Cricetulus griseus: one gene and its partner. The protein of the gene in region 2 purifies or fractionates together with the protein of the main gene of each other region. This does not show direct contact. Links are inferred from orthologs where the notes say so. Each region holds a gene or a part of one and is shown on either strand. Other genes may lie near its edges.

What was found. Proteins that work in one complex are often made in the same cells at the same time.
Region 1: the proteins of Hnf1a (region 2) and Pcbd2 purify together in Homo sapiens (affinity purification with mass spectrometry; 4 studies listed by BioGRID and IntAct, with this or other methods). This does not show direct contact. The link is inferred for Cricetulus griseus from reciprocal best matches to the Homo sapiens genes HNF1A and PCBD2.

The regions. Positions count from the first base shown.
Region 1 is NC_048596.1:274,714,744-274,720,631, reverse strand, and holds the start of Pcbd2 (pterin-4-alpha-carbinolamine dehydratase 2), read right to left. Parts: upstream 3,377-5,888; coding exon 3,290-3,376; intron 1-3,289.
Region 2 is NC_048597.1:94,548,605-94,554,678, reverse strand, and holds the start of Hnf1a (hepatocyte nuclear factor 1-alpha), read left to right. Parts: upstream 1-2,710; coding exon 2,711-3,036; intron 3,037-6,074. UniProt on the Homo sapiens protein: Transcriptional activator that regulates the tissue specific expression of multiple genes, especially in pancreatic islet cells and in liver. Binds to the inverted palindrome 5'-GTTAATNATTAAC-3'.

The sequences.
Region 1 (5,888 bases), on a different chromosome or scaffold from region 2:
GAACTCTTTGCTTGGGGTTTTTTTAAAATTGTGATTTATTTTCTAAAGATTTATTTATGTTTTATTTATTTATTTTAGTTTTCTTTCTTTTTTATTTTTATCTTATTTTATTTTATTGGTTTTTCGAGACAGGGTTTCTCTGTGGCTTTGGAGGCTGTCCTGGAACTAGCTCTTGTAGACCAGACTGGTCTCGAACTCACAGAGATCCACTTGCCTCCCAAATGCTGGGATTAAAGGCTTATTTTAGTTTTTCAAGACAGGGTTTCTCTGTGTAACAACCCTGTCTGTACTAGAACTCACTTTGTAGACCAGGCTGGCCTCAAACTCACAGCGATCTGCCTCCCTCTGCCTCCCAAGTATAGGGATATAAGGCATGGGTTTATCCACTTTTATTTTATGTGTTTTGCCTTCGTGTATTTATATACACAGTGTGCATATATGTTGCTAGCAGAGGCCAGAAGAGGGCATCAGACTCCCTGACACTGAAGTTACAGATAGTCATAAGCCACCAGATTGGGTGATGATGGAACAGGTTCTCTGCAAGAGCAGCAAGAGACCTTAACTGCTTGGTCATCTGTCCAGCCCCCAGCACAGTCCTTTGAAGTAACCGGGGAATGTTTTCCATAAGAGCTGGGGGAGATGTGAACAAGCACAGGATCTGAGGGGTGTAAACGGCTACCTTTTTAACTTCTTACTGCTGGATGCTAAACTTGGCCTCTCTGGGTTCCAGGGCCCCTCGGGTCTGTAGCAGGGATAGTGCAAGGTTCTTTGTTTTTGTTTGTTAAAGACTTAAAGAGATCTTTCGGCGCACGCCTTAATCCCAGCACTCGGGAGGCAGAGGCAGATGGACCTCTGTGTTCAGGGCCAGCCTGGTCTACATCCCCATTGTAAGATTCAAAGAAAGATGGAAAGGAGGGGAAGGGAAGGCAGAGACCCTGAATGTGAGGAGAACTGGAAAGTGATGGTGGCCATCAGAGACTCTGGCTCAGAGCAGCCATTCAAATGCAGTCTTCACTCTTTCCTCCCAAACACCGTCATTTTATACGGTCAGCAGCACTCTGGGTAGGAGTACGCCTTGAGACACACCTAGGTGATACCAAGCAAGTTGTGCAGAATTTTGAGCTATTTCCACATGTTACATATTAAAGAAATTTCACATGCCTATGTTCTCAGCACTTGGGTGGTGGAAGCAGAAATGTGTAACAGACTTTCTTTGGGGCTGCCCAACCAGCTCCCAAATCATGGCATGGGGATTTATTATTAGTTATAAATGCTCAGCCTTAGTTTATGCTTGTCCTCTAGCTCTTACAACTTATTTTAGCCTGTTTCTCTGCATCTACGTTTTGCCTCTCGGGCTCTTTACAAACTCTCTTTCATTCTGTGTGCTCTACGCTCATGGCTTGCTCTCAATGTGGCTGGCAGCTGGCTGGCTCCCAGGGTCTCCCTCTCTTTCTCCCTCGTTCTCTTCTCCTATTTATTCTTTCTGTCTTCCACCCTCACCTATCCCTCTACTGGCCCCCTATTGGCCATTTGGCTTTTAATTAGACCCTCAGATGCCTTGGGCAGACAAGTAGAAACAGCCACACATTTTTGCATAATTAAACAAATGAAGCACAAACAAATGCAACACACCTTTATACAGTTAAAGTAATACTCAGCAACATATCAAATGTGACCATCTTTACATAGTTAAGGGTTCCACGACAGAAATACATCAAGTTCCAGGTCAGCCTCAGCTACATGAGACCTAGCCCATTAAAAAAAAAAAAAAAAAAAATGAAATGTCATTCCTTCTTGCATAGGAGAATGTGTTTAGTGTACCTTACTTCACACATATAGACACTTGTATGAAAAATCACTTTAATTAATTTTAAAAAAATATGTTAGCCAAGTGTAATGACTGGTCCTGGGTTGCAGGGGAAAAAAAAATTCTCTAAAGTCATTAGTCAAAAACAATGGACGTTACCAGCAATAATTTTCTGACTTCAACAATTCTACCGTGTAATAAAAGAAAAATTACTTGTTTTAGAAATTCATTATAGACCTTTTACAGGAATATAAACCACGTCTATGACTTACTCATGAGAAAATTTTCCCAACGGTCTCTAGTAAGCGGCAGGAGAGGAAACGGCGCGCTTCGTGCTACGTTCTCCACTAGATGGAGCTGCGTGCTAAAACTTCTCTAACTCACCCCTCCAAACTCCTAGGCGGGCTTCGCAGTAATCCTCCTGCCTCAGCCTCGCTGGGCGCAGGAATTACACGCCACAACGCACGGCCCAAATACTAATGTGCGAAGGAAGAAAATTTGAAATGCCCTCTGTACAGGCGGTGAGAAAACCGATGTGCCCTTCAACAACGGGAAGGAAAGGTAATTCCCTAATTCTTCCTACAGCTCACGACCAAGCCTGCCCGGCTAAGCGGCCACTTAGGGGAGCCTGCCCCGGCCGCAGCTCACACGACGGCCACGGCCCACTGGGCCGCCACTAATCTTCGCGCGTGTGCGCGTGTGTGCGCGTGTGCGCGTGTGTGCGTTCATATGTGTGAGCGTGTGTGCATGTGTGTGCACGTGTGTGCGCGTGCGTGCGCGTGTGCGCGTGTGTGTGCGTTCATATGTGTGAGCGTGTATGCATGTGTGTGCGCGTCTGTGCGTGTTTGTGCGTTCATATGTGTGAGCGTGTGTGCATGTGTGTGCGTGTGTGCGCGTGTGTACGCTCATATGTGTGAGCGTGTGTGCATGTGTGTGCGCGTGTCTGTGCGCGTGTGCGCGCGTGTGTGCGTTCATATGTGTGAGCGTGTGCGCATGTGTGTGCGCGTGTGTGCGTGCGCGCGTGTGTGCGCTCATATGTGTGAGCGTGTGTGCATGTGTGTACGCGTGTCTGTGCGTGTTTGTGCGTGTGCATGTGTATCTGCGTGTTCAGGTGCGTGCGTGTGCGTGCGTGTGCGCGTGTACATGTCTGTGGGTGTGTGCACCTGTGTGCGCGTGTGTGCGTGTGTATGCGTGTGTGCCACGGCCCACTAGGTCACCACTAATCTTCACATGTGCCTGTGTGTGCGTAGGTGTGCGTGCGTGCGTGCGTGCGCGCGCTACACGGGATTGTTCCGGTGGGCGAGCTCATAAACGCCCTCGGAAGCGCTTGGGCGTCTTGTTTTGTGGCAGGTGCCCGCGCGGAGCCGTGGCTGGCCTCGAACTCACGCGCGCCCTCCACGCAGCGCACTGCGCTCCGCCAGGTCTGCGCGCGCAGCCTTCTCGACCCCGGCCCGGTTCCCCGCACCGCGCGCTCGCACTCACCATGGCCGCCCGGCTCGCACCCCGACCGCGCAGCCGCCAACCCGCGCAGGAGGCCGCGCGACCCCGCGCCGCCGCCGCCGCCGCCATGGCCCGGGCTGCCCGCGCGCTGCCTGACGCCGCCCAGGCCCCGAAGGCCCCCGGGGCGGGATGGCCGCGGCGCCGCGGTGCTCGCCCAGGCTCAACTCCCTCGGCCGGGCGAGCAGCCCGGGGCGGGCCTGGCGGGAGTGCGCGGTGGCCGTGGCAGCTGAGCTCGGAGCGGAGACCGCTGGGGACGCGCTGAGACAGTACGGGGACGTGTTCTTTAAATGCCGTGTGTGTGCGTGTGTGTGCGCGCGCGCGCGCGTGTGTGTGTGTGTGTGTGCGTCTGTGTGTGTGTGTGTGTGTGTCTGTGTGTGTGTGTGTGTGTGTGTGCGTCTGTGTGTGTGTGTGTGTGTGTGTCTGTGTGCGTGTGTGTGTGTCTGTGTGCGTGTGTGTGTGCCGTCTGTGTGTGTCTGTGTGTGTGTGTCTGTCTGTCTGTGTCTATGTCTGTGTGTCTGTCTGTGTGTGTGTGTCTGTGTGTGTGTGTGTGTGTCTGTGTGTCTGTGTGTCTGTGTGTGTGTGTGTGTGTGTCTGTGTGTGTGTCTGTGTGTGTCTGTGTGTGTGTGTGTGTCTGTCTGTGTCTATGTCTGTGTGTCTGTCTGTGTGTGTGTGTCTGTGTGTGTGTGTGTGTCTGTGTGTGTCTGTGTCTGTGTGTCTGTCTGGGTCTGTGTGTCTTCTGTGTGTGTGTGCGTGTGTGCCCTGTGTGTGTGCCCTGTGTGTGTGTCTGTGTGTGTCTGTGTGTTAGTCCTTATTATCCTTTTGCAGTTTTTTTTTTTCCTTTGAGACGTAATTGACAATAAAATTCACTCTTTAAAATCCGTGGTATGGGGCCAGGGTTTTGACGCTGTGGTGAGTTTTGATTAAAATGTTTCAGCTTTTAGTTCCCCTTGTATGTTTGTTGTTTTGTTTTGTCTTTGGTGGTGGTGCTGTTTGGCTTGGTTTTGGTTTTTTGAGACAGGGTTTCTCTGTGTAGCCCTGGCTGTCCTGGAACTCACGCTGTAGACCAGGCTGGCCTCGAACTCAGATCCGCCGTCCTCTGCCTCCCGAGAGTGTCACCACAGCCAGGCCATCCTTTGGGGTTTTTTACTAATAACTATTTTGTATTCCTTTCTTGAGCCAGTTTTACTGTAGCCCAGGTACAACATTGCAGAGGCTCTGCCGCCTTGAACACCCGCCTGCCCCCGCCTTCCAGGAGCTGGAGGTTGTGGACATGCACCCCCAAGCCCAGCCCCGCTCTTTTTTTCTAAATTAGCACATTAATATTACCAGTTTGCCAGACATGGTAGCACACACCTTTAATCCCAGAACTCTGGGGCTGAGGCAGACTGATCGCTGAGAGTTACAGCCAGCCTGGGATACATAGGAAGTTGCCGAGTCAGAGCTGCATAGTAAGAATTTTCTTATTTTTATCAGCTTTACGGAAAATTCGGCAAAAGGATATATGTACTAAAGACTTCATTTAAGAATGATTTCGTAATTATTAGCAGTCTTATATCCCAGATGGTCTTAGAAAAAAAATAAAGCCTCAAAATAACCAAAAATGTACACTTCAGTCCTGACCTTTTGTTTGTTTTGTTTTGTTTCTTGATTGGCAAGATGTAACAATCTGAAAAACTCCGGGTACTCTGAGGGCACTGGTCCGACAGCATTGACTTGAAGTAACTTGGGTGACAGTGTGGGTTTCTTTGGGCCTAAGGATGAGGGGCCAGGGGTAGAATTAAAAGAAAAGTCTTATTTTCCCGCAGTGGTGACACAGGTCTTTAATCCCAACACTCAGGAGGCAGAAGCAGGTGGAGGCCAGCCTGGTCTACAGGGCTACACAGAGAAACCCTGTCTCAAAAAAAAAAAAAGGAAGAAGGAAGGAAGAAAACTAAGTCTTGTTTTAGTATCCTCACTGAGTGTTTATGATTATGGAAAATAGTCTTGAGATTTGCTTATTGAAGTGAGGATCCCCGAGGGCGTGGTATTCACCTGGAATCAGCACTGGGAAGGACAGGCAGGAGGAGTTGAAGTTTGACTCCAGCCGAGCTACACCCTGGAAAAGGAGGAGGGAGAGAAGCTGAGAACTGAAAATGGGTTGGTAGGTGACTAACAAAGCCATGGTGCGTCATTCTCCCTCCTTAACACCCGTCTGAAACCATGGCATCTCAAATCTAGTTACAAAGCAGCAAGAGAAAGATGTCTGGGCCTAGGGAAGTTACATCATCATCCAACAGAGGCTCTGTGCGGGTGGCACTCACCAGATGGGCCATGAAGCTGGCTCAGCAGGCGAAGGTTCTTTTGGCCAAGCCTGCTGACCTGTTTGGTCCCCAGGACCCACTGGTGAGAGGAGAGAGCTGTCATCACAAGTTGTCCTCTGAGACACACACACACACACACACACACACACACACACACACACTTTTAATTATTTTATTTTTTAGAAGGCTCTCAGGTCTAGAGAGATGGCTCAGAGGTTAGGAGCACTTTGCTGCTCTTGCAGAGGACCTGGGTTCGATTCCCAGCACCCACACGGCAGCTC
Region 2 (6,074 bases):
GCAATATAATATGATAATAATGAATTTCATTTCAATGAAATGCAGTTTAAATTGCTTAACATTTTAACTTAATTATTTTTAAATGTGTGCATGAGGGATAAAACTCAGGGGCCTGGGCTGGAGAGATGGCTCAGAGGTTAAGAGCTGGTGGCTGCTCTTCCAGGGGTCCTGAGTTTAATTCCCAGCACCCACATGGTGCCTCATGACCATCTGTAATGAGATCTGGTGCCCTCTTCTGTCCTGCAGGTGTGAATGTAAGCAGAACACTGTATACATAATAAATAAATAAATAAAATTAAAAAACAAAAACAAAAAAACCCAAAAAAACTCAGGGGCCCAGGCACACCAGGGATCAGATTTACCACGGAGCTATATCTCCAGCCCTTTTAACATTTCATTTTATCTTTATTTTAAAATTTAACCCAGTTTATCCAAAAGAACACCATTTCAACAAGAGGTCTCAGCCACCACTCAAGTTCTTGGTGGCCCCTATGTGACCACCAAGGTGTGGTGGTGTGACAGGGACATAGTTGACTGTCAAAGGTGCTTGGCTCACCAGACGTGTTCTTGCCTGCTGCTGGCCTGAAGGCTTTCTGGCTATCTCTTCCTGCACTACAAAACTTGATCCTGACTCCAAAGAACCTTGAAGGTTCTGGAAGCAGCCCAGTTTGGGGGCAGTGCTCTTTACCAGGAAAAGGATGAAGAGAAACGAGAGGGCCAGGCTCCCTCACAGACGGAACATGGGGCCTGGCTAGGATGAAGTGAAGGAAGGATGGGCCTGTCTAAGTTTGCTATTTTATTCACAGATTGTGTGTGTGTGTGTGTGTGTGTGTGTGTGTGTGTGTGTGTGTGTGTATGTTTTGGAGACAGAGTTTATCTGTGTAGCCCTGGCTGTCCTGGAACTCACTCTGTAGACCAGGCTGACTTCAAGCTCACAGAGATCCACCTGCCTCTGCCTCCCTGCTGGGATTAAAGGCCACCACCTCCTGGCTTGAATTACTTTATAGTATGCATTCCAGGCTGGTCTAGAACTCCTTGTCCATGTGATATATTTTTAAAATTAATGAAGAACCCAAAAGGATGGAAAACACACATTCACATAAAAACTTTAATGTGGGTACTGTGAGCAGCATTGCTCACCTCAGCCAAAAGGTGTGGGGGGGGGCAATAATAAGCCATCTATGGATGCTTGGGAGAAGTGCTATGTCTCCGTGCAGTAATTGCCCTTTATTCACCAGGGAAGGGATAAATGGGGATAAATTTGTACTCTGGATGAGTGAGCTTTGAAAACAGAATGCAAAAACAAAACAACAAAAAACCCAGAATGCTAAGAATAGGCAAGCCCAAAGAAGGGAAGGGGGAGGGAGAAGGATGGGGCAGGGAGAGGGAGGAAAGACTGGTAGGTCATGGCTGCTCAGAAGATGTGGAGTTTCTCTTGGGATGATGAAAATGTTCTGAATTGATTGGTGGCGTGAGGCAGTGCTTGGGATACACTAAACACTGCTGAGTGAACGTGTCAAAAGGCAACAAGATGGCTCAGCCGGTAAATGTGCTTGTGGCCAAGTCTGACCACCAGGGTTCCCACAGGGAGGAAGAAGAGAACTGACCCCTGCTGCTGTCTCTCTCTCTCTCTCTCTCTCTCTCTCTCTCTCTCTCTCTCTCTCACACACACACACACACACACACACACACACTTAAAAAGACAAAAATATCGATTGCTTTCATTAAGTAGTACTGGAGAAAAATCATACTTAAGAAAAATTAAAAGATGTATTTTAGGGCTGGGGTGTGGCTCAGTTGGTAGAGACCTTGCCTAGCATACATAAGGCCCTGGGTTTGATCTCCTGTACTTCAAAAACTTGGCTGTGGTACAGGCCTGTAATCCCAGCACTTGGGAGGTAGAGGCAGGAGGATCAGAAGTTCAAGGTCATCCTGTGCTACACAGTAAGATTGTCTCGAAAAACAACACACACACACACACACACACACACACACACACACACACACACACACCTCCTGGGGTCAGGATCATACAATGATGAGAAGGGCATAGATATTAACACAGAAGTTTGAATTGTTAGGATACAAGTCTTAAGTTTTTCCCACCCGGCGTCTGGTGTTGGGCTTGGCTGGAGGTTCAGTGACCCCACTGGAGGGAATGTGACCTAACTCTACCCTTGAGAACTGGTCCAGTGGACCAGAGCTTCCTGCTGCTTCAGCGCCCAGGGCCAAAACCAACCGAGACCCTTGGGCAGTGGGACCCAGGACTGCTCTCAGAGGCCTCCTGGCTCCTGGTAACTCTATTCCAGCGCCCCTGGCCCCTGCTCCACCTCCCCCACCCGCCCTTCTGCTCACTCCCAATTGCAGGCCATGGCTCCTGGTCTTCTCACTGCCATGAGGCCTGCACTTTGCAAGGCTGAAGTCCAAAGTTCAGTCCCTTCGCTAAGCACACGGATAAATATGAACCTTGGAGAATTTCCCCAGCTCCAATGTAAACAGAGCAGGCAGGGGCCCTGATTCACTGGCCGCTGGGGCCAGCGTTGGGGGTTGGGGGTGCCCACAGGGCTTGACTAGTGGGATTTGGGGGGGCAGTGGGTGCAGCAAGCCTGGTTCGTGACTGCCAGCCTGCCGGCAAGTAGACACCGGCTGTGGGTGGGGGAGGCGGCTAGCTCAGTGGCCTTGGGCCGCGTGGCCTGGTGGCAGTGGAGCCATGGTTTCTAAACTCAGCCAGCTGCAGACGGAGCTCCTGACTGCCCTGCTCGAGTCCGGCCTGAGCAAGGAGGCTTTGATTCAGGCCTTGGGGGAGCCAGGGCCCTACCTGATGGTTGGAGATGCTCCCTTGGACAAGGGGGAGTCCTGCGGTGGGAGTCGAGGGGACCTGGCCGAGCTGCCCAATGGCCTGGGGGAGACGCGTGGCTCGGAAGATGACACGGATGACGATGGGGAAGACTTCGCGCCACCCATTCTGAAAGAGTTGGAGAACCTCAGCCCGGAGGAGGCAGCCCACCAGAAAGCCGTGGTGGAGACGCTTCTGCAGTAAGGACCCCACCCTGTCCCCATAGCGGCCCACTTCCCGTCCTCAGCAGCTATGGCCTTCAGGCTGGCGGTCAAGAGGGGAGAGAGCTCAAGGGGTTCTTGCCGGACCCACTCCTCTGCTTGGTCCCATAAATCCCATATCTGTGGGCTACTATCTGCAGCCCGGTCCTTAGGAAGTAGGGGCTGGCAGGAGGTCACTTTGAAATGGAGGACAAAGGAACCAAGCTCCAAAGAAATGCTTGGACAACCAGAGGGTAGAAGAAATCTTCAGCCACCGTGGTCATTTGTGCTCTCACAAATACCACCTTCTTGGCTAGGTGGTCAGACCCCAAGTTTGGGGGCCCGAAAGCTTCTGAGGAGGCCGGCTGAGGTTGGGGTTTTAGGGGATTTCCTGACGCACCAGGGCCTTAAACTGGGTAAACCGGGGATTTCTTACCTGAGGCAGATGGACCACTTTCCTGCATGGCCACGACTGCCCCCCCCCCGCCCCCACCTGTCGGGATAGCAGTTTTAGCGGCCTACCCATACCATACCCCCTCATCTGTTGTCTGGCTCCCCATCTCCTGGAGTGCTGGGTGGGTCCCAGTCTTGATGCCGCCCCTCTCCTCAGCAAAGCTGACCTGGTTACTAATTACCCATGCGCTTTATTATTTCTTTTGTTTTATAAATTTATAAATAGCAAAAGGCTCTGATAAGGCCTGTGATCATTAACTTGTAGGGATGGTGGCTGGGAGATGCCCAGTCGGGGGTGGAGAAAGGTAACACCAGGGTGGGGGGAGGGTGACCTGGGGGCTGTGGGGAACCACTCCTCCCAAAACCTCCATGTTTTCATGCGAATATCTCTCCAATGGCTACTTTCTGTTGGGATTTCATAATGCCTAAATTCCCATAATATGGAGATGAGCCTCAGACGAAGCTGTTACAAAGTCAGTTTCACAGATAGGGAAACTGAGGCTCGAACTGGGGCAGGAGCTATGAAAGTGTGGCCTGAGGGCTGGCTGAGGAGTTTGCCGGAGAACTTTCAGGAAGGAGCCTCTTTTCTGTCCAAGGTCCTGATCCTGCTTGGGGTGGGGGAGGGCTGGTGGAGCCCGGCATTTCTGGAAGTGTTAGGGAACCTCCCTGGGCCTTGGGCAAGGGGCAGGGGAGCAGTCAGGCCCCCTGACTTGGCAGGAAGAGGAGGGCAAAGGGCTGCCTCGCTGCAGGGGAGGGGCAAAGGGCCAGACATTGCCAGACCTAGGGCACAAGAAACCTGGATAGGGTGGGGCCGGGCCTGACCTGTTCAAGGGGCCCCAGGTGGGACTAGGGGCTCAGGGACAGAGGTGGCAAGGGACTTCTTACCTGGGTAGGTGGGACCTCTTGATCAGCAGCCCCATGGTGGGGGAAGTAGAGGCTGAAGTGGGGCTTGGTCCAAAGCAGCTAAGAGGTCAAAGTGCTCCCTGGGGGCCAGCAGAGTCCTGGAAGCTGACAAGGAGAGGGACAACAAGGAGGATGAGGAGGGAGAGGGCGGGAGGAGCTGAGAGAGCAGAGGAGCCAGGAAGGGAGAGGGTCTCCAAGCAGCTGGGAGAAGGGGCAGGGGAGAGAGGGGCAGGGGAGAGAGGCCGAGCTGGGAGGAGGCTGGAGTTCCTCCCTCCCAGGTTGGTTTTCTTTAATGCTAACAGCGTGCTATTTGCTTTCCATTTAAATTCGAGATGTTGCTATAAATTATCAACCAGCTCCTTGTTCCTGCAGAGTTTATAACTAACTACCTGGGTTACTTATTGTTCAGGTAACAAAGGGGACCTGAATATGTCCCAGGGACAAAAGTGGGGCCTCTAGTGTCAGGACAGGGGGGGTGGGAACTCTGGGAAGGACCCCCATAAAGGCCTGGGTAGTGGGGATATTGAGGCTGGAAGAGGGGATGGTAAGCTCCCCATGGGAGCTGTTGGCTCAAAGACCTACATGTGAAAGGGGGACACCCCAAATGACACCCAGATTCTCCTCACAGATCCCTATCCTTCAGGTCTTTACTGTGTGACCTTGGGCAAGTCTCTTTCCCTCCCCTGCCTCAGTGTCACCAGGTAGACAGGGAATAAAGGCAAACTGTCTGCCTTGGTTCTAATTCCACTCTTCCCCTCATCTCTCCCAGCCTCCTTCCCCTCCCCTCTCCTCTCCCAGCCTCCTTACCCTTTTTATCCTTTCTTTGGTACCCGTGATGCTGACTTTGCTGGTCCTGGATGCACAAGTTGATTTCTACTTCACAGCCTTTGCCTGTCTTGTTCTTCCTGCTAAGGACCCTGCATTCCCCCCCCAACTGCTTCTTCCTTGGCTCTGAGCTCCCTAACTACCCTGTCTGCATATGAGCTGTACCCCAGTTTCTCTTTCCTTCACTGTGTCTATCTACTCTCTCTGGTCCCTTAATCATATAGTTATTTTATTTGTCTCTTTGTTTATTTCTTGTCTCCTGATGTGAAAACATCTCCAGGGAGAAGCTTATGACATCACTACTCTCACACACACACACACACACCCACTGCCCTGACATGCCAGGCATGAGTGAGCAAGAGATAGTCTTCCCTGAGGACACCTCCTACTCCTCCATAGGGGAACACTTGGGATCCAGAGCTCTGTCCTGGCTGCCAACTGCTTAAACCTCAACCTTGCTGTTTTCTGATCTCCCCTGTCAGGCAGCAGCAGGGTTCTCCCAGATGATAACATAACAGCATGCACCATGCTTCACCAGACAGTGGCCTGCCTTGGTTCCCATCCTAGCTCTGTCCCTTTCCAGCCAGCTAGGTGGGTTTTGTTCCCCAAGTCCCAGTTTCTTCTGCAGAACAGTGAGGACAACACTCAGCCACAGGGTCACGAGCATGACCACAGCTGAGCAGTAATCTACCTGCATGGCTTTAAGCATTAAGAATCAATTGCTCAGGCGGGTGTTGGTGGCACACACCTTTAATCCAGCACTCAGGAGGCTGAGGCAGGTGGATCACTGAGATCACTGAATTGGAGGATAACCTAGTCTACAGAGCAAGTTCCAGAACAGCCAGAGCTACACAGAG